4 linked regions of the Schizosaccharomyces pombe genome follow. The gene in region 4 interacts genetically with the main gene of each other region. Each region holds a gene or a part of one and is shown on either strand. Other genes may lie near its edges.

The links.
Region 1: of rrp2 (region 4) and uba2, changing one suppresses a phenotype caused by changing the other (phenotypic suppression), as found in Schizosaccharomyces pombe (one study listed by BioGRID).
Region 2: of rrp2 (region 4) and nup132, changing one suppresses a phenotype caused by changing the other (phenotypic suppression), as found in Schizosaccharomyces pombe (one study listed by BioGRID).
Region 3: of rrp2 (region 4) and slx8, a mutation in one rescues a mutant of the other (synthetic rescue), as found in Schizosaccharomyces pombe (3 studies listed by BioGRID, with this or other methods).

What each region holds. Positions count from the first base shown.
Region 1 is NC_003423.3:2,293,085-2,297,756, reverse strand, and holds uba2 (SUMO E1-like activator enzyme Uba2), read right to left. Parts: upstream 2,824-4,672; 5' UTR 2,727-2,823; coding exon 2,646-2,726; exon of another isoform or gene 2,605-2,645; coding exon 2,524-2,604; exon of another isoform or gene 2,434-2,523; coding exon 1,375-2,433; exon of another isoform or gene 1,334-1,374; coding exon 668-1,333; 3' UTR 516-667; downstream 1-515. Other genes in the region: pfk1 (6-phosphofructokinase), read left to right, coding at 1-291; snd301 (pho88 family protein), read left to right, coding at 3,632-3,670, 3,718-3,880, 3,982-4,364; cyclophilin family peptidyl-prolyl cis-trans isomerase Cyp7, read right to left, coding at 4,616-4,672.
Region 2 is NC_003424.3:2,775,703-2,781,567, reverse strand, and holds nup132 (nucleoporin, WD repeat Nup132), read right to left. Parts: upstream 4,281-5,865; 5' UTR 4,198-4,280; coding exon 4,014-4,197; exon of another isoform or gene 3,958-4,013; intron 3,950-3,957; coding exon 645-3,949; 3' UTR 515-644; downstream 1-514. Other genes in the region: serine/threonine protein kinase (CK1 family) Cki3, read right to left, coding at 18-152; tRNA 2'-O-methyltransferase Trm13, read left to right, coding at 4,992-5,317, 5,397-5,433, 5,485-5,865. UniProt on the Schizosaccharomyces pombe protein: Functions as a component of the nuclear pore complex (NPC).
Region 3 is NC_003423.3:1,287,685-1,292,210, forward strand, and holds slx8 (SUMO-targeted ubiquitin-protein ligase E3 Slx8), read right to left. Parts: upstream 2,528-4,526; 5' UTR 2,277-2,527; coding exon 1,467-2,276; 3' UTR 1,331-1,466; coding exon of another isoform or gene 552-1,330; 3' UTR 515-551; downstream 1-514. Other genes in the region: AP-endonuclease Apn2, read left to right, coding at 1-514, 552-1,330; U3 snoRNA associated protein Dip2, read left to right, coding at 2,880-4,526. UniProt on the Schizosaccharomyces pombe protein: Mediates ubiquitination and subsequent desumoylation/degradation of sumoylated proteins and proteins containing SUMO-like domains. Acts as a critical suppressor of gross chromosomal rearrangements (GCRs) during normal cell cycle progression.
Region 4 is NC_003423.3:3,837,908-3,844,641, reverse strand, and holds rrp2 (DNA translocase/ SUMO-targeted ubiquitin ligase E3), read right to left. Parts: upstream 5,074-6,734; 5' UTR 5,006-5,073; coding exon 1,883-5,005; 3' UTR 1,801-1,882; coding exon of another isoform or gene 1,082-1,800; 3' UTR 1,036-1,081; coding exon of another isoform or gene 894-1,035; 3' UTR 537-893; downstream 1-536. Other genes in the region: U3 snoRNP-associated protein Utp10, read left to right, coding at 1-195; protein N-terminal amidase nta1, read left to right, coding at 894-1,035, 1,082-1,800.

The sequences.
Region 1 (4,672 bases), 1.5 Mb from region 4:
CCCGGTCACGTTCAACAAGGTGGTAACCCCACTCCTATGGACCGTGCTCGTGCTGCTCGTCTGGCTATGCGTGCCATTCGTTTCTTCGAAACTTGCCGTGCCAACGACTTGGGTAATGACCCCAGCTCTGCCGTTGTCATCGGTATCCGTGGTACTGGTGTCTCTTTCAGCTCTGTTGCTGATGTTGAGAACAACGAAACCGAAATTGAGATGCGTCGTCCTAAGAACGCTTGGTGGCGTGATATGCACAACTTGGTTAACATCTTGGCCGGCAAGACCTTTGCTGATTAAATAAATGGCTAGATTACGGTTTGGGTTATCCTTGTGGTGGTTTCTGTTTTGATCCTGGAACTCTTTTCTCAACGTTCGTATGAAATTGGTCCTAACAGTTACTTTAGAGTTAGAGATGTAAGTTTTTATCCTACGACTTTTTAATTATTTGGTCACTTGAGAATCGATTTCGCTAGGTCTTTTTTTTGAGTTATATATGTTTACTTGAGTGAAATAACTATTTTCGACAGAGATTATTATAGACTGATTATTATTTTTCTATAACGATAATAGGTTTTTAATATTTGATTTTGACCGACATGAAAAGCTAGCGTTGACATGTAAGATTTTAGTAAGATATCTAGTATTGAGTGCAGTAAATATCCAAATGGTTTATTTACATAGTGTGTATTTTCGCTTGCTTTTTCGATTTTGCTTCTTGAGTAAGTGTATCGTTAGATGGTCGACGTTTGAGTTGTTTGTTATGACTGCTAGTTTTAGAATCGACAATAATGTCATATTCATCAAGATTAATAACGATTCTTTCCGACGAAGAGAAGTCATTAACTTCATTAATCTCGTCGGTTAAAACTTGTGAATCTTCTGGCGAATTTGAAGGAGGTTGCTGTTTAAGAGGAATGCTGGTAGCATTTGAAAGTATTTGGTAAGGTAATCCTTCGGTGGAATTAGAATCAATGAATGTAACTTCAATTAACAAGGGAACCCTAGTAGCTTCCTCGCCATCATCATCCTTTTCGACAGCAGAATCACCAAGAACTGTGAGAATAGTATTTTTGGCAGGATTTATACCCAAATCATCAAAAGTTTTATCCAAGTTATCATCAAAGTCAGGATCATATATCAGCTTATCGTTTAAAACGCTAACCTCTTCTGAGTAATGCAAACGACTTTTCAAAATATCATCAACAAGAACTCTTAGAGTCATATTTTTGTCATTTACTCCAAGCTGTAAAAGTACAAAAGAACAAGTAGGACAGTAAGGGTTAGGTTTACAAGTTTTCTCGCAATGGAGTACTCTGGTAGGCCTTTTAGCCAAGTATATCTTAAATTGTTAGCAAATACAGCTGAAACCTAATAACTTACATTTTTTAGATCATTGAGATCTCCTTGAAGAACCTTGATAGCTTGCGTGATACATAGTCCAGCTATGACTGCATTTGTGGTTGCGATAGCAGGAATAATATTGCCAGCCATTTGTTTAATGTCAAATTCAGAGAGTTGTTGAATTCCAAATACATGGGCACGCAAATTAGCTGCCGCTGCTACAAAATCCAATGTATCCTTATCATCCTTGTCAAAAGAAAGATCGTCTTTTGAGGATTTAGACCTTAAAGCAAGGCGTCTAATGCTATCTCTGAGAACTGCAAAACTTTCAGCAACATTCCAAACATTTTGTTCATTAAGCCAAGGTGAAGTGGCTTTTTCGGCATTCTCTAAAAGTTCCGAGTATGAAAGTTCTTTTGGAGGAGAACGATATGTCCATGCGTCAGGGACTTCGCGGAGTCGAACTATGTCTTTAGTAAACATTTTCGTAAATATTTTTTCAAAACCATTGTCACTTTGACCAATTGACGACCTAAGCTCGTTTAGCTCAGTTGTTTCTCTAGCTAGTTCTGCGATTTCACGTCTCTCCATTTCGTTTGCAGAAACATTGTCAATGATTCCATCACTTTCTTGATCATTACTAAAAAGTTGGGGGAAGAAATAACTTTTTGCCCAAACTACACAATGAATCGGTTGACTTGGTGTGCTTCGAATGGTACAAACCGGATAAGTTTTAGGAGGCTCTTTGGGATTACAGTCGTAACATTCAGTTTTGCCATGAATGATAACCTGTACCTGGCCAAGAAATCCGGTTGTTCCACTTTCAATCAAAGGTACAGAAGCAAGTAAGCATTGTTTATTCACATGTCTACGAGCATCCAAGTTATCTAGTGCGTTAAAAACAAGATCAAATTGACGAAACCAAGCAACATTAAATCGGTCTTCTTTTATATTTGCATGATAAGCTTCAAGCTTTACATTTGGGTTAAATGAGCTTGCGGTTTTTGCAGCAACGATTGCCTTAGGTTGTTTGACATGCTTTTTACGAAAAAGAAATTGTCTGTTAAGATTAGACAAATCAATAGTATCAAGATCGATCTACAGTATAAGAGTTAATAAATCGCGATAAAAACATGTAGACGAAACGTTTCTTAAGGTTTAAAAAATTTAAATATACAACTCACTTACTATATGAACTTCTTTAACTCCTGACATAAGAAGGTTCTTTAACAATTCACACCCAATTCCACCCGCTCCAACTAAAAGGACCTGACCAATTGTTAAAACCCACCAGTTTTTCTATTACATACCTTGGCAGACTTGAAATTTCGTAAGGCCTCCACAAATGTCAATGGTTTCATATCGTTGCTGAGTTGCATTAGGGTTGGCATGTTAGCAATCGATTCTAATTATGGGCTTAAAAGAAGCGAGAAAAACAATCCCATACAAATAGAATAAATAGCAAGTTCGCCAGCTATTATTAATTTTGAAGTCCCTGCGCGATAAAACTAGAGCATTAATTTATTACACTAAGTTACCTTATTTAATTTTTCTATCCTACAAAAAATTACTTTCATTAGAACTCACAATAAAATAAATAAAGAATAGAGAAGTGCATACTACAAAATATAAAATTGAGTATTCTTTCACTTTGGGCTTGTTGGACAACATATTCGTAGTTACTAATGCCTGTCAAAAAAACGATAAACTTTTTTTTAACAATTGATTTCACATTTTGCTAATGTACTATTTCTTCAAAATCGTGGTAAAAATGTATTTTAACCACAAACATGCGAGTGATAAACAACTTACAAAAGCTTCAGGGCTAAATTTTAAATTGTAAGCAAAATAAATAAAACTGAAACTGGGTTGTATTTCTATGTAAGTGAACCACAACTTATCATATTAGTGAATGCAGAAACATTTTTTTCGTTCTGCAAATTAAGAGTCTTAGGCATTCTCATGCAATAGCACTACGATTTGTTACTGCAGGAAATCCCTTATTAGCGCAAGGCATTCATGTTTAAACAACTCTAATTTTCCAACATTCGTTCACCAGAGATGCGTCGCTTGCCAAGTTGGATCAGATAGAAGGCACTTTCAAGAAAAAAAATAATTCTACGTCTTTTCTTACTCAATTCTATTGCAAAAAAACTCCAAATCCTGGCTCTTAAAAGTATAGTAACAGAATATAGCTAGGCAGAAATGTATGGTAACATGTTACCTTTCAGTAGTGTATTATCAACACCAAATGTATGAGAGGTAGTCTGAGTTCAACGTCTACACTTCGTACAAAATGGTTTCAAGATGGGAGAAATTGAAGAATAATCCTCAAGTAAGATTTTGAAAAAACATTTGGCTGGGCAGGTGTTAACATGATAGACTAAATCAATCGGTATCTCTATCTTCTTGATGATGATCACCAGGGTAATTGATTTCTCAAGACCCTCATTACTTTGGCCTTTGAGGATTCTATACGCTACAGTGAATATAGTTCAAATAGGAATTTTCCTCTACACGAAGATTATTATCGAAAAGAAAAACGGTACGTTGGTTTGGAAGATTGGTTGTTTCGTCTTTCTTAATAAAATGGGTAGATAAACGAATTCAATCTACCATGGTTCATCTATTCTCTAACAATTCTAGATTTAACTGTTTTAAAATATGTTGAACCCGCTACTCCCATGTCTGGACGTGAACATTCAAAATTTGTCGCTACCACCGTGCGTGATTACGATTTGAGCAAACTCTTGACATCTTTTAAACAAATGCTCGTGACAATTGCTACCACTTTGTTCATGCATTTATATATGGGCTACGCTCCTCCTCTTCTCTTACAGTCTGTATCTGCTGCTAGAGGTCTGTTTGATAACAGTGAAGTGCAGATTCACGTTCAAAATAAGCCTGCTATTGATGAGTTGAGACGTCCTTTCAAATCATCTGGTGGCCTTCTTGGTAGTTTTGGTCAAGTTTTGACTGATAAAAAAAGTGTGGATGAAGCTGAATTAACCAAACTCAAGCCCACTTAAAAAATGTGTTGTTAAGTTGTCAGGAATTTTTAATAATTTCTCTTCTTCCACAACACACCTCGTGTTTAAAAATTATAGTGATACGAGTTTTTTTTCGTTGTGATAAATACAATTGTTTACTTTGCAAGTCACTAATTGACCATTCCCATACTTTGCTTAAAATGTAATTATTATTAGAATTTACAAACGAAATATGTGAAATATTAATTTATACTTAAAAGAAGCATAGGTTTTTTTTTCTTTGTAAAACATTAAATTATATCGCGTTTCATTAAAAGCTTCTTAGGCCTAGCACTTGGAACATCTTT
Region 2 (5,865 bases), on a different chromosome or scaffold from region 4:
TAAAAATAATTACATACAAATTTTAGGGCAATTGGCTGATTATTGATTAAATTTACACCTTGAAATAACATGCCAAAAGATCCTTCTCCAATCTTTTTACCAACGCGGTAATGAACACCAACGACGTTGGAGTGAGACGAAGTAGTTGACATGATGGTCTTTTAAATATTCCACTATGTTAAATGCAGTTTTCTTTAAAATGTTTTTGATTAAAAGAGCGTTCCGGTTTGTTAAATGTTGATGTCTTTCGCACTCGAAAGTTAAAGATGGTTACGGGTAGAAAAATGAAGTAGATGCCGCTAAAATCCACAAAGATTCCATGAAAAACACAAAGAAAGTGACAGTTCAATTATTTCGTTTACAGTTGACAACCTCAGAGGAATCCGAGGCAGCCAACACTGTACTTGGTAGTGGACAAGTAAGCAGTACTGGGTTTTCCACCGATATACCAAGCTAGCGTAGTATAAGGTTGGAAAGCTGAAAATAGATATAATGGTATACTTTCTAGTTTGAGTTAGTGGTAAACAAAATTTTATTTTAGATTCATTAGCTAACAAAATTGACAATGATCAAGGGACTCGGATGAAACCTATCTAACCAAAATTCTTTTATTATCTAATGGGTTTGTATGATTAAGATAAAGGTTAAATCGTATCGCAACTTAAACACATACTAATATAGCAAGTATTTAAATTAGTTTTTGTAAGATAATGATCCAACTTTACGCTTTCACGATTAAGTACTTTGGTAACTTCAGTCACATCTCCAAAGCGAGCGGGTGGGTAAATAGAAATGAGATTTTGAGGATCATATCCTTCAAACTTACAAGAAGAAAGCGAACCAGGTCGGATAAGTCCTTCATGAAAAAGTCCGTTTATGGTCACAGCCTCTAGAGTCCGATATAGTGCTGACATTCGGAATTGGGTTTCTATAATTGCATCGTTTTTACCCTGGGTATCCAAAACTTGGATCCAGTTGTCATGTAAAACAGCTCGTCTCCAAATGGTATTTTCATAAAATCTCTTGGCATCGTCCGTTAATCTGGTGGTTAAAAGAAGACGCAAAGCAAGATAATAGTCGGTAACTTCACCTTCTACAAGGTCCTCTCGACGGTATAAAGAAAAGCTGAGGTACTCCAACAGTTCAGTTGCTTCAACCACCTGTCCGGCAATGAACTTTTTGACTACGCGCTGCATAACCTGACGAGCGATAACAGGCGCTACCTTGGCACCAATCAAATCATCCACAACAGCTTCTACAAGCTGGTATTTTTTCCCCTGAGAACGAAGCCGTTCAACGACTGGCATAACACTTTTGGAAACCATTTTTTGAATATGTAGTTGCTCAAGCTTTTGTTCCACTAAAACCAAATCTCTGATATTTCCAGAGTTGGATGGAACTGCATAAAGAAATAATTTACTTAATGAAAGCTCAGATTCCTTTTTATCAACCAGCTTTTCTTGTTTAGTAGCCAACTGTAGCAATCTATGCGACGCAGCATCGTAGTCTCCTAACCTCATATCATGCATCCATGAAATCTGGTTGTAATCTCGAGATTTAAAAAATTGTTTCAAATAAGATTTGTTGAACCTGTCGCTATTAAGCAACTCTAATGCCATGCCATTTTCAACAAAATAGTCATATAATATAAATGCGAATTTTATACCAAAAAGATCAAGGTAATTGTTTAGTGCATCCGTGAGCTCATTGTCCTCATAAAGTTGATAGCACAATTCTACTAAAGAACGATAGTCTGAGTATTTTTCAGCGATTCGAATGGCACTGCTGCCTTTACCTATATCTGATAAAGTTTGAACCCAAAATCTGCGATTAACTGCAAAAGCTTCCTTGACATCTTGAATTTCACTAGCATCCTTACCACAACGTTGTTCTATCCATCTAATCCTTTCTGAGTACGCGTCAAAGCAAACCTCTGTCAAGGCCACTAATTGTACTTCTAAATTTGAAACGACATTTCTTAGCACCCCTTTATCCTTTATTTTAAAAGTATTCTCCACATCCGAGGTTCCTTGATGTGACTGGACAAGCGCTGACCGAGTAAGTTCAAACTGTCGACACAGCAAAACTAAAGTTTCTGGCGTTGACGTCCAAGGAACCTCTTCTCCAAAGGTATCAATACTTAGCTTATAAATCTTCTGGGACTCACGGCGATAAGCCAAAGCCGAAGATTGAATTGCCAGAATTACTTCATTAGCTTCCATAATTACATCAAGAACTTCCAATGGAAGTTCTTGAACTCGAGAACCTGAATCTATGCAAAATTCATGTGCTTGCGCTATCAGTTGATCAATGCTTTCAATATTATGCAAAAACCACTCTCTCAAAGCGTTATCCGACGAAGCACTTTGAGTGAGTCTATAAATTATGCGTTGAAAAATTAGGGAATGACTAACAGTACTAAATTCAGTATCGATAGTATTCCATAAATATCTAACAGAATTGCATTTTTCGCCCATTACTCTCAACTTGTATAGTACTTGACGATCAACATCCAGTGACATAGACCTAATATACCGGACAAGATTATTCAAAGAATTTAACCTACAGGACAGATGCTGCATTAAAGAAGCAAATAATGGGGGTAAATGAGTAGACCTTGAATTCAAGATGTCCATTCCAAGATCGACAATAATCCTTTCGAGTTCAGGCTTTTTGATGGAGCGAAGGTAATTGCAGGAAAAATCGATCGGATTACCAGGAAGGAAGGAGTAAAAAACAGCTTCTTCCAACTTGCTTTTTACGAGAGATTCGTTATTTGCAGGATGCTCCAAACTATGAACTTCTATTTCAGCGATACCAGAATAAGGGGTTGCTATAAAACATGATTCCGTAGGAATAGAGTATTTTCCTAAAACGTATTTGTAGCAAGTAGACATAAATATGCCGCCAGAGACATTAGTATTCATACGAATAACCTCTTCCCATGATGTTCTCGATACAATATCTTTATCATCCTCTTGGACGTGCACTATAATAACAGCGTCTGTTAAAACCACAAATAAAGAATTCCCTGATGATGAATAATGTAGCTTTGAAGACTCAAGAGATTTAGAAGAAAATGAATACAATGGATGAATATTCATTACCGAGGGTGAGGAAATGTCAGAAAAATCAAGAGAAATAATCATGTAACGGTAATTAATAGAATTTTTCCAACATACTAAAAAACTCACTAGATTTCCGTTTGTGGGGCATATAGTAAGGTCTAACACCTCAAGTCCGCTTGCATCGGGGCATCCTTCTCTCAAAACCTGCTTAAAAATAGGAGACAGATTCATACCAGAAACAAGCTTATTTTCCAACTTCAAATCATATATCTCTAGTAAACCAGATGCCTCAGCGACATACAAAAGATGTTGGTATGGAGAGAACAGTGGTGGGGATTTTAAAGCAATGATATGAATGCTAGGGTAGTTAAAAATCTTCATTTTCTGAAGAATAGTAGAAAAAGTACTAATATCGGAAGCAAATAATTGTACAGAAACGTCAGGTTGACCTGCAGGATCGCGCAGTTGAACAGAAAAAAGACGACCAAAATTGGTAGATATGATGAACTTCATGGGGTTTGAGCAACATAAATGCTCACATTTTTCTTTGGGGAGTAACTTTATCAAACTTTCCATTCCCTGGGGACATATATAAGATTGAGCGAGAGCATTCCCAATTGAAGTCCAATATGCTATACGACCAGAGATAGGCATTACAATCAGCAATCCAGGTTCTTTGTCAGAAGCATCAGAAGGGACGAAGGCTGTCAAGGCATTTTGCCCGGAAAAGCCATTTGAGTCCTCTTCAGGTAGCGGAAATGTTATAGTTGGAGGTTCTGCTGTTCCCAAGCTTTGACGATACGACAAAATAAAGCAAGCTTTTCGGGAATTAATTAATGCATAACCGATGTCTGTGTAGCATGATCCACTTAAAGGATGGTCTAAATTGAATAGAGATGTTAGTTACCTAGTAATGCGCACAGTGAAGAAATAAAAGCTTCGTACCGTTGATAATTTTAGAATTAAAATGTTTAAGTAGACACGAGACCTTGAAATTTTTAGATCTGAGCCAATCCAATGAATTATTATAGGCAGTGCTATCCAAAAGCGATTTCTCAACAGAAATTCGTTTCAAAGGGCTAAAAGATACGACTTCTTCATTTTTCCTTTTACCAAGGATAGAACTCATGACTATTTGACGATATCAGTACTGATACTGGCGGTTATCGTCTATTTGACTCCTTAATACCCTTAGGGATAGAATATGGCTCTGAGAAGGACGAATGTCGACGATTCCTACAAAGAAGGGTTTGAAATCAAAAGAACTTTACTTAGACTCCTATTTTTTACTCAGAATTAAATAGTTAAGCTACTGATAAGAAATTCAGAGTAAAATCAATATATCAATATTTCAAAATCGGTGTATATGTCATATACACTTTTTTCACAAATGTCAACACAGTTTGCTCTTTTGTAATTAATTATTTCTTTGCTTTGGTATATTTAAGGAAGTGATACTTAGGATATTGTCTTTTCCCGGAATGTTGTATAAAACAGAGGTTTTTAAAAAGTAGTTGCGTTCTTCAAGGTCAAGCTTAAACTACTTTTTTAGAACGCATGATCAATTTATATAAATGTTTCATGATTCCGTATTTGAATTTTTTTTATGAGCACGCCAATGGTTGGAAACATCAGATTTCTTCGTAAAATCGCACATCTGGTACAGAAAACTATAAAAGTAGTAGAAAGTTTGGGACTGGGTTGGAAACAACTGTAATAAAGAGAAAAACGCGAAAATACTTTATTTTGAAGTGTCTGAACTGCCGAATCGGAAAGCTATTTTTCATTAGTGTTGTAAATTATCCGAAGGACTGAAAAAGACCAAATTTTACAAGAAAAATAAAATTATTGTATTTTAAGATTTACTTTTGTGATCAATATTCAGGCTAATATCACTTAAGAGTTAAAAAGTTATCTAACTTGATGGCACGAATAAAAAAAATTTTTACTCAGGAAGAATTAAAACAAATCCCCTGTCCATATGATCACAAGCATACAATTGTGCGACATCGTTTAGAATATCATTTGAAGCGTTGTAACGCGCGTCCTGTTGAAAGGACCGATCCATATTACAAGAAGGACATAAATATCTCTACTTCAACAGATGCTTCAGAATCTTCCTCCTTTGAAATCGTCGATTTAAGCAAGGAAGAGTTGTCAAAATGGATTTGTTTGTTCAACAGAATTAGTGATTCTTTACCGACTCCTCAAAAAAAGGTGTTGTTTCACCCGGCAATGAATGCAAGACTGTATGTACGAAGTGCTTTCTCATTAGCTTTTTATTAAGAAGATGGTTGCAAAAGTAGAAACTAACTTCATTTTTAACAGTGAAGAGGGTACAAAAAAAAAGCATGCAATTCAGCAGGTATGTTCGACATGATTTCTTAACGGCAGTCAAAAGCATTAACCATTTTAGGCATCATTGTTAGGACATATGGAAAAACTACATTATTTTGACAACCAAGGATCTATATATTACGAATTCGGTGCTGGAAGAGCCGAGTTATCAAGATATGTTCAGCACTGCTCCCAACAAGAAAACGTATATATACTTATTGATCGTGATTCAAATCGAACGAAGCATGATAGCAGGATATTAAAAGATAGCATCAAAAATAACTGGCCTGAGCCAAAAATTATAAGGTGTAAAATTGATATTAAGGATTTGAAACTCGATTTTTTTGCTAGTGAATTTCGGAATAGTGGTAAACCTGTATTTGCATATTCTAAGCATTTATGTGGTGCTGCCACAGACCTTACCTTGAATTGCTTAAAGTCCTCCCCTCCTAATGCTCTT
Region 3 (4,526 bases), 2.6 Mb from region 4:
ATTACTGGCATCCTGCCAGTACGAGGACAAAAATATTCATATTCAGAAGCACCGGAGCATGAAAAGATAGGATTTTTCCCAAAAGACATTGACAGAAAAACTGCTAATTGGATTGATAGTGAAGGAAGGTGTATATTATTAGATTTTCAGATGTTCATCCTAATCGGTGTTTACTGTCCAGTAAACTCTGGAGAAAATAGACTAGAATATCGACGGGCCTTTTATAAAGCCTTACGAGAAAGAATTGAAAGATTGATAAAGGAAGGAAATCGAAAAATCATTCTCGTTGGGGATGTGAATATTTTGTGTAATCCTATTGACACTGCTGATCAAAAAGACATTATTCGAGAGAGTCTTATTCCAAGCATCATGGAATCAAGACAATGGATACGTGATTTATTACTACCAAGCAGGTTGGGACTACTGTTGGACATTGGCCGTATTCAACATCCTACTCGGAAAGGAATGTTTACATGTTGGAATACAAGACTTAATACAAGGCCCACAAATTATGGTAAGTTCTGAATTGTTATTTTTTTTACAATGGATAGGTACGAGAATTGATTACACTTTGGCAACACCCGATTTATTACCTTGGGTTCAAGATGCAGATATTATGGCTGAGGTCATGGGTTCAGATCATTGCCCCGTATATTTAGATTTAAAAGAAGAATATGAAGGAAAAAAGTTGTCCAACTTTCTAAGTCACTCAAAAGAACCACCTTTACTATCAACGGCGCATCATTCAGCCTATCGGCCATCAAAAAATATTCATTCAATGTTCCAACATTTCAATTCGATGAAAAAGAATAAAAACAACTCACCCACTCAGAGCGAAAACGTATCTGCTTCTGCGTCCAGCGGCTCCTCACCAACTGTTTCTCGTGCAAACTCTGTCATAGACGTCGATGCCTACCCACCGGAAAAGAGAAGACGAAAAGAACAATCGAAGCTTCTTTCATTTTTTGCGAAGCAAAAGGAAGAGAAAGAAGAAACCAATAAAACAGAAGACGTTTCGATTGAGGTCCTTGATAACAATAATGAATCTGACATAGGGTTGACAGTAAAAAAAAAAGTAGAAAACGGGAACGCCTGGAAGCAAATATTCAGTGAACGAGCTCCTCCACTTTGTGAGGGTCACAAGGAACCTTGCAAGTATTTGACAGTGAGGAAGCCGGGAATCAATTACGGGCGGAAGTTTTGGATTTGTGCCAGACCGGTTGGTGAACTGATTAAAAACTCAAATGCAGTTTCTGAGGAAGATACTCAACCGTTCCAATGCAGGTTCTTTATCTGGGACTCAGATTGGAGAGCAAATTCAAAGGACTGAAAATTTGTAATGACTAGCATAACTTGCTCTTAATCAATTCTCAATTTTGATGTGTATAAACCGCAAAAAGCATTGAGCAGTGCATCACACATCTTTCATTAACATTCTTAATATGTATATACGGAATTTTGTACGGTTAAGATTTCTTTTTTTGAGATCCGAGCATCATTTCCAAACATATAACTTTGTTTGGATGTACTTTTCTTCTGCACACCGGACATTTTTGTGTGGCAGCCGTTGTACCTAAAGCACTTAGTATACAAAAATTGCAAAATATATGCCCACAGGGAGTACAAGATAGGTTTTCCGGACTATCCAGACAAATTACACACTTATAATCAGCTAGTCGTTGTGAAGATGGAACAACCTGTTTTTTGCTAGGTTCTTCTTTTTCAATTTCGGCGTTGGTGGTCGATGGGTTCTTTCCCTGTTCAAATTTTTGTTTTCTTGGATCATAGGAAGTCTCATCAGTTAAATCAATCATATCGCTTATAGTAGTAGGTTGCGCGTGAATACTATTAACATTTGTTAAACTGTTTTCAACGGAAGCTGGATGATTGTTGTAGGTGAATCTTTGATTTATGTCATCAGCATCATTCTGAAAATTAATGTCTTCCAAGTCGAATACTTCACTTTCCACATCTATGTTTAAATCAGAGGTTTCAACAGGTAGTGTTTCTTCTTGTGCTAGCTCCGAAGCAACCTCTCTTAGCGACCTTGGTGCACGATTCAGTGGTAAAGACTCATTCTCAGAGGTAGTGCCTGAAGGATAGTCTGTTGCATCTTCTGAAACCGGAAATCCGTTTCCTGGCGAATTCTCTACTGGAGAAGAACGTCTCCTATTTATTGCTGCATTTCCAGCTGCGACTCTAGCGGATTGAGATGGGATATTGTATGGTGCAGATAAGTTTCTAACGTTGGTATCTCTCTTATGTGCGGGTGGCATTTTTTTGCCAATTGGTCCTGAAATTCGAAAATAGTTTATAGATTATTGATTAATGGGCTAATATTAGGATAATTTTGATCGTATCCTAATCGATTGTCAAATGCTTTTCAGGCTTGCTAGAATAATAAAAGAGAATTGTGTTAACGTCAATATACGCAAACAGCAATTATTTTGGCAACTTGCCAACAAGTTTAAAATTAAATTTAGTAGACCTATGATTTTTGAAGTCTACATGGAAAAATTGGCTCACTACCACAATGTTGTAAGATGCTAGTCTAATTAATATTTATGACCTTTTTCATGAGCACATTCAATAGCGCAAGCGGTATTTCAAATAAGAAAAGAGAACAGAAAAGCTGGTAAAACTTAATTGTGTATCAATAATCTTTTCAATGCAGTTCATTAAACTGCGCAACCGACATTATTATGAGTATTCCATAAACTATGCAAAAATGTATTATGGAGTGCATTAAGGAATGCTAAAATAAAAAAACGATAACAATGTATATCGCTATTTCTTTTCCAAATTGTTGAATATTAGAGGAGTGTATATACTTAGCATCAACCAACGCCTTTTTTTTAATCTAGGTCTGGGTAGACGCAATGGTCAAAAGCTATACGCGGTACGAACCAACCGAATTTTTTGGTGTCATTGCGTCTTCGGGATGTAATATTCTCGGTCAACCCTCTTCGTCTGCTAAATCTGTAGGCAGAGCCATTGTTGGCGGTCTTGAGTCTGTTTTGGAATGGGATTTAAAGACTGGGCAATTACTATCAAAATGGAAGGATTCTGATTGTTCGGCAAAAGTTACTTGTATTGCAAACTTTGATGAAATGTACGCTGTGGGCTATGCAGATGGTTCTATACGTCTTTGGAAAGATGGAGAGCTCTTAATAACTCTTAATGGTCATAAAAGTGCTGTTACTACCATGGATTTTGATAAAATGGGCACAAGATTGGCCAGTGGAAGCATGGATACCGACATTATTGTATGGGATATTGTAGCTGAAACCGGCTTGTTTAGACTACGTGGACACAAGGACCAAATTACCAAGCTTTTGTTCATTACACCTCCTTCGAAGAATACAGCTGAAGAAACAGTGGTGGACACAGATATTGATTCCGGCGACATGGACGTTGACAGTAAATCGTCTGATTCGTTTCTTTTGTCTGTTGGCAAAGATTCTTTTATGAAGCTTTGGGATTTGTCTATTCAGCATTGCGTTGAGACTCATGTCGACCACCAAGGCGAAATTTGGGCTATGTGTGTTTCACCAGACGCCAAACGGTGCCTCACTGCTGGTACCGGTTCTGATGTTAAAGTTTGGGAAATCAGTTTTCCAGATGACAATAATTTCACTCCAACTACTAAAGCATTTCAGCAATTAGGTACCTTTACCCGTCAAAGCCGTGACCGTCCCATCACCTTGGCTTACGACGTTTCAAACCGTTATGTTGTATTCCAAGCTCATGACCGTCTTCTGGAGGTTTTTCGCCTTCGATCAAGTGCGGAGCTCGAAAAGATTCTGAATCGACGACGCCGTCGTAAAAAGTCTGAGGACGTTTCGATCACGTTAAAAGACGAATATGAACCTTTTGCTCTAATTCGAACCACTGCTCGTGCTTCGTCTGTAGCTTGGATACCAGGAAATCGTACACCTACGTTGGTAACATCTCTTCAAAATAACTCAATTGAAGTTTACGCTTTGGATGTCAAATCTGAAGGTTCTGCTGCACCATTAACTGAACGGGCTTCGCGTATAAGTGCCATTGAAATTCCTGGTCATCGTGCTGACGTTCGTACCTTGGCTTTGTCCGCTAATCACGATGTGATTTTAAGCGGTGCTAACGGCTCTTTGAAGCTTTGGAACAAGAAAACCACATCTTGTATCCGTACAATCGAATGTGGTTATGTACTTGCTGCTAGCTTTATAAATAACGACAAGTGTATCGTATCCGCTTACAAATCAGGAGAACTTGAAGTCTATGACATTGCTAGCTCTTCTCTTATCGAACGTATCCAAGCTCACGATGGCGCGATTTGGGATTTAGCGGTTGGTCACGATGGCACTTACTTCGCGACTGCCTCTGCCGATCACACAGTCAAACTCTGGTCTCTAAAATCGTCTTTTGATTTCGTACCAGGTACCACTAGAAAAGTCACCACGTTGAAATTAGAGCAAACACGACAAATAGATTTCACAGACGATGTCCTTGCGGTTAAAATTTCACCTGATGGTCGTTTCGTT
Region 4 (6,734 bases):
GCTATCCAAATACAGACACAGCTTTACGGGCGCCTTGGTGAGAATTGGATTTCTACATTGCCTCAATCAGTACCATTTATTGCTGAACTAATGGAAGATGATGATGATCAGGTTGAAACTGCTACGGCTGAGCTCGTGCGGATAATAGATGACCGTCTCGGTGAGAATGAATCCCTCCAAGATTACCTTACATAAGGATTGTAGAGGTTGTGGGTCCGTTTTTCACAGGCTGAGTTTTAAACGGAATCTTTCGTTTTCTAAATTTTTCATTCTAAAAAAAATAATTATTGATTCGTTATGAATATATACGCTTTCGTCTAATCCCTGCCAAAAAAAAAGGAAAAGACGATCATGTTGATTGCAATCCATAATGGGTCTTCTCATCAATGACCTTTAGGGTTGTATTCATCAATTCTCAATTATCTTGGGATTATAAATAGTTTGGTTGGTTTCGGTTTCATAATACTATAAATTAAGAGAGAAATTTTTGCAGTTTACAAATGTTTGACAGCAGCAAAATAATTTTGAAGTTTAAACCAGTGTATTAAAACCCAGTAAATTTCATTGAAGTATCGAAATATTGTATATCTGAGCGACTTCGTAAAGTGCAATCATCCTACATAGCAGTAATCTAGTGGAACGGCATACGTCTTTAAATTTGCTTAAGTCAGTTTTTGTCTAGGAAATGGTGATTTGGCCAGTTTCTTGTCGGTCTTTTATATACAAGAGATAAAATTCTAATTCCATTTATCTATCGAATTGGTAAAAAAAAGCCTCGCTAAGGACTTGTTTAAGAGTTTGCCACTTCGATGTCATAAAAACGGTCAACACTTCTCAATTTAAAATTTGTTTGTACTACTAGTGCATCCTTTTAAACAGCAACGACAGTACTAATGAAGTTTGGATGTGTACAATTTTTTCCCAAGTTGGGAAAGGTGAACGAAAACATCGTTCATCTTCGCCAGCTTTTGGATCAACATTCTGAAGCATTACAGTCTGTTAAGCTATTGGTTTTCCCTGAAATGTGCTTAACTGGTGGGTGGTCTTTATTATTAAGAAGAGTTAGCTAACTTTCCTGTAGGCTACAATTTTAAAAATTCAGAAAGTATACAACCCTTTTTAGAAAACGTAACTAGCAATCATTGTCCAAGCATTCAATTTGCTCAAGAAGTCTCTGAGCAATATCGGTGCTACACCATCATTGGATTTCCTGAGTTTCAAAACTCAAACGGCATTTCTACTCTTTACAATAGTACAGCTCTCATTTCTCCCAAAAAAGAGTTGTTGAACGTTTACCACAAGCACTTTCTTTTTGAAACAGACAAATCATGGGCCACTGAAGGCAAGGGTTTCTCTTTTGAACCCTGTATTCCTGAACTGGGCCCTATTTCAATGGCAATTTGTATGGACATTAACCCGTATGATTTTAAAGCTCCTTTTGAGAAGTTTGAATATGCAAACTTCATTTTGCGTGAGCTAGAGCATCAACAAATGGTTTCTTCGAATGTATCACGACCAATTATTTGTTTAAGTATGGCATGGCTTGTGTCAGATGATAAAGTCATTGATGCTTCCCTGCCCGACATCAAAAATTTACATTACTGGACCACTAGACTTTCACCGTTAATAAATTCGAATACGGATGCAATCGTTCTTGTAGCAAATCGGTGGGGAAAGGAGAATGATTTAAATTTTTCCGGTACCTCTTGTATTATGGAACTTTCTCAAGGAAGAGCTATCTTACATGGTGTCTTGAAAGCTGCTGAGAATGGAATTGTAGTTGGAGAACTTGAAAAATAAAGATGTGCGACGTTTTTTATTTCTATTCATGAAAACATATTATATAATACATATTGGTTTTAATAAGCCTGTTAAATTTCTATTATCGTGATGACATTCCAAATAAAAATGACAACTCCTTTGTATTCAGACGTGAAATTTCTCTAAGCCCTTTTTCCCCTAAAGCGCTATCTATTAGTTCTCTCTTTCTGTCTTGTAAGGCTAAAACTCGCTCTTCAATCGTGTTATTAGTAACAATTCGTAAAATATTTACCGGTTTATCTTGTCCAATTCTATGTGCTCGATCGACAGCCTGTTCTTCGATATAAGGATTCCAAAATGGATCGAGTATGATGACATGATTTGCACAAGTCAAGTTTAACCCGACATTTCCTGCTTTTAAAGAGATCAGTAAAACTCTCACGTTCGGATCAACTTCAAAATTAATAAGAGCTTGATTTCTTTCCGCTGTGCTTAGACCACCAGTATACATAAGATATTTTATACCCTCTTGTCGAAAGGGTACCGTAAAAAGCTCAAGAAAAGAAACAAACTGTGAAAATATTAAAATTTTGTCAGTTGGCTGTTTCTTGATGATTTCTTTAACTGCATTTAATGCTTTTTCAATTTTTGTAGAAGTGGTCCAATGTTTAGGATCCGTAAAGATCTTCATACCCATTTGTCTATTCTCTAAGATATTACTATACTGTTTAGGTAGCAATTCGGAAATGTTTTCTGTTCTTAATTTGTTATCGGCATCGACAATAGGTGCCATTCCAGAATATCGTCTAAATAATGCGTAACTCAAAAGCCTTTCAGTATCGATGTACTCCTCGCAAACTGAGCACTTAGGAGAAATATTTTCGTTGCTTGTTTGCTTAGCCATATCCTCACTGGATGTAATAACATGGGTTAAGCACTCTCTACATAGAAAATGACCGCAAGGCACAATTATCAAAAGTTCTGCAACAACATCCATACATAAGGAGCATTGCAACGTTTCAATTAACTTAAGGCGATTGACAGCCTCGGGATATATTTGGTTGTAGATTGCACGATTCTTAGCTTGAAAGCTATCGTTATCATCAACCGCTGCTTCTCGAGCAACAATTAGCCAGGGATGACAACAAGCCTGTCGAAGTCTCAAAAGTAATACTAGTAGACTACCGTAATGCGTAGTTATAGTCCCTTCTTGAAGATATTTACGCATTTGAATTTGTGCTCCGCTTTGAAGCGTATTGTAAAATTCCATCTCAGAAGAAGAGAGGTCTGTTTCAGATTTGACGGCGGTTTTTGGAGGAAGTGTCAATATTGGCTTGCCATCAATCTTTGTATTTTTCGTTCTACGAAGTAGCACTGCTTTTAATAAGCCACGAAAGCGCTTCATAGGAGCGGACGTGTTTATATTGCTACTTAAAGGAATGGTAAAGTCCTTTGAAAAACTTGACCAGTCTGAATAAGGTTTAATCCTCAGAAATTTTATCAAGCTGTAGAACTCCTCAACCCCATTCTGCATAGGGGTACCACTCAAACACCAACGATAAGTTGATTCTAATAGACAGCATCCACGAGCAGCTAACGTATTCCTGTTTTTGATAGTTTGAGCTTCATCCAATATAACTCGATACCACTCTGCTTCAAAAAATGGAAGGTGTTCAAATTTTTTTATTGGAGCGTTATCTTCGATACTCTTGTCATAAGCCATTTTGTTTTTAAACTCGTAAGCGATGACATTATAAGTAGTCAAAACAATGTCATACGACATCAATTGTTCAGCAATTTTGTGCTTTTTCGAACTTCCGTGATGAATATAAACAGTGGGTCTATGTGAGGGAGCAATTTTAGTAAGTATTTCATTATGCCATTGCTGTAATAGCGACACAGGGGTGATAATCAGAGTTGTTTTAACTGATTTAGATTCTGGAGGCCTTGTTACTAGCAATGCAAGAGCCTGGACAGTTTTTCCTAGACCCATATCATCTGCCAAAATCCCTCCTTTCTTAGAGCTTTCTTCTAATCTTTTTAACCACATTAGTCCTTCCTTTTGGTGTTCCATTAATGTAGGTATTAGTCCAGCAGGTGTACCTTCGCGAATTGTTGGATCGTTGACAAGCTGCTCATCAAGATCTTTGAACAACTCCTCCAACTGTTGTTGCTGATCATCTTGAACTTTCTGGTTATTTGAGTCTGACAAATTGAATCCTTCAATATTGTGAAATCTATCGTGATACCATTGAAGGTGGAATAAGTGTTTACCAGGTTCGGGTAGCTTGGAATCATGCAACAAACCACCCGGAAGAATGACTGAATCCGAGCCATAACGCTTATTCTGAAAATTAATTTCGTTATCTTCTTCGTCTGATAAAGAGATCGGATTATTAGAAGTTCCTTTTCCTTGAAGAAACTTATCATCTTCTAAAGTGTGAGTTGTGTTAAACATCTTATAATTATTATGATGATGAAAAGGAGGAAGAGCTAAAGAATTGGTATAAGAAGGTCCAGCCGTAGATAAAACTGGTAACGAAGGTAACTCTAGTTTTTTCCTTTTCGAATTCATAAACGCAAGCTCTAAATTCCTTTTTTCCTTCATATTAACTTTATCATGGTCGTTCAGTGAAGATTTCGTCCGAACATTATTATCATCGGATTCAGAGTCAGATACGACAATCACAGCATTGTCGTTCCAAAACAAAGAGTCCTGTTTTTGTTCAAAAAGTGCATCAGATTGACTCGGACTAAGCTTATCTGTTGAAGAACTAATTTCGTTTTGCAAAGAGTGGCCATCAACATCAATAGTAATTGCATTGATGTTTGGACGATCAAGCCCAATTTTAGGAGCAATTAAAGTGGCATCCGTGTAAGTAGAATCATTATTTTCAACGGAAAGAGAACTGTTCAGCTTCTCTTCATTAGGCTTTAATGCAATCACACTATTGTCATTAGGAAAAAGGCCATTCACTTTTTCTATGTTAGATTCCATCGTATTTAAAGAGGACGATGAATCATGCATAAAGGCATTGAATAGCGCCTGTTTTCGATTAAGAAAAGCAATTCTCCTTTCCATTTCATGTCTGTTTATATCATTTTTTAACAATTGGTCAGACGATGCAGAAGAAGAATAGTCCGGGGTATTATTTTTATTGAACCCAATGTTATGTTTGTCATCTAAAGGTATTTGTTCACATGGATTTAACGTAAATTGTTCAAAAGCTGTATTATTTCTCATAAATTAGCAAAAAAATGCTTTGTGTTTAAAATGTAGTGTGTAATTTTAGGTAGGCAAACTGGTGTGGTGATACTCAGTCGCCCCAAAAGTTTAGAATAAGTACCAAATGTAAGTTAACAAGGGTAAATGTGTACATGAATTTGTGATCATTCGAAATGGAAGGAAAGAAATTAAATTTTTTAAATCATAAAAAATTCTTATTATAATAATTTCTGTTTTGGGAGAGTTTTATAAAAATGCTGATCAGTAAACCTGAAAGAAATCAAAGGGGTATTGAAGAGTCATCTGTATACATATTTTATAAAAACAGAACTGTGAAACTTTTAAATCCTTGAAAAATGTTAGTAGCGAGATGAAAATGGACGGAATAAATAAATAAATTGAGAGCATTTTTAACCCAGTTCTAATTTGTCATTGTAGTATTAAAAGCGATTTTAAAAATTTTTGATGTTTCTTGCTTAGTTTCCCAAGCAGCATTTTGCAAATTTTCTAATTAAACGTTTCAAATAGCTTAAGCATCGTCCGTGCAGTATCAAAGCAGCTGTAAATTGTTTTAATAAACAAATATTTTAATTAATGTTTTTATATGTTCTACTTTCTTCTAAAGTTGTTTCCCCCTAAATTCAACTAATCTATATGAATACTGTTACATACCCATGCATTTTAAGCTATATGGCTTTACTTAATACCTAAATTTCTTTTTTTTTTTTTTTTTTTTTTTTTTAAATTAAAAATATTCATTACCTTTTTCCTAATTACTTTGTCTTTAAAGTGCAATGCGTAGGTATTGATAGCAGAACCAAATTTCAAAACTATTATTATTTGTATTTCTAAATTTATAATGGTATCTTTCATTAAAAATTGATCAAGTAGTGTCGCTTGAATTCTCTTTAGCGGCTTACTATTCAATATTTATATGACTGAGTGTTGGCGCTTAACCTCTAATGTATTTAGCCAGGTGGATACAAAGACAAACAACTGTATGAAAAATGAAAGTTTATAGAATTAATGGAAACGGTGAAAGCAAAATTTAAGCTGTCTCTAAACCTACAAATTCGCATTTTTCTTTTGCCAGCACCATATGACGCATCCGTAGGATCTGCACATTTCAAGCAACGTAAATCATTTACCTCATTTTACTACTATGACTGAAGCGATGGAACCCTGCGCAGGAATCCAAAACTGCATAAGAAAAGAAATTCAAAAGACATAATTAATAACATGGTTGCACAAATAAAATTCAAAAAAATACTTATGTAAATGAAAAACCTTAAAAAAATCAATAATTTATAATTGCATAAATAGATTGCCTAACAATGTGCTGATAGATAAGTCAACTTACCTACGCTACAACATCGAAACCCCGTATTTGAACAATTCCTTTGTTTCCTTTGTCCTTGTGCTTATATTATTTCTCATTTTCTTATATTTTAATTGAGCTACATATAGAAAGTAATATCGAGGGAATTGCGTCAAATTTGAGTTAAAAATTGCATTTTGATTTTGAAGTTAGCATTTCGCTTTTTTTTTTTTTTGAGGTCTTTTATTTTAATATTTTCTTCTCTTTCTTTTTGCTCGTAGGTTTAAAGCGCAATTGCTGTTATTTTGATTGCAGTAGACTCTCGTGTTTACGTTAATTGCTATATTCGTTTTTCGTTTCTGCGTTCAGCGATACCCAAGTATCGTTGTTATTCCTTCTGCCGTTTAAATTGAACTTTCTCTTCCGTTT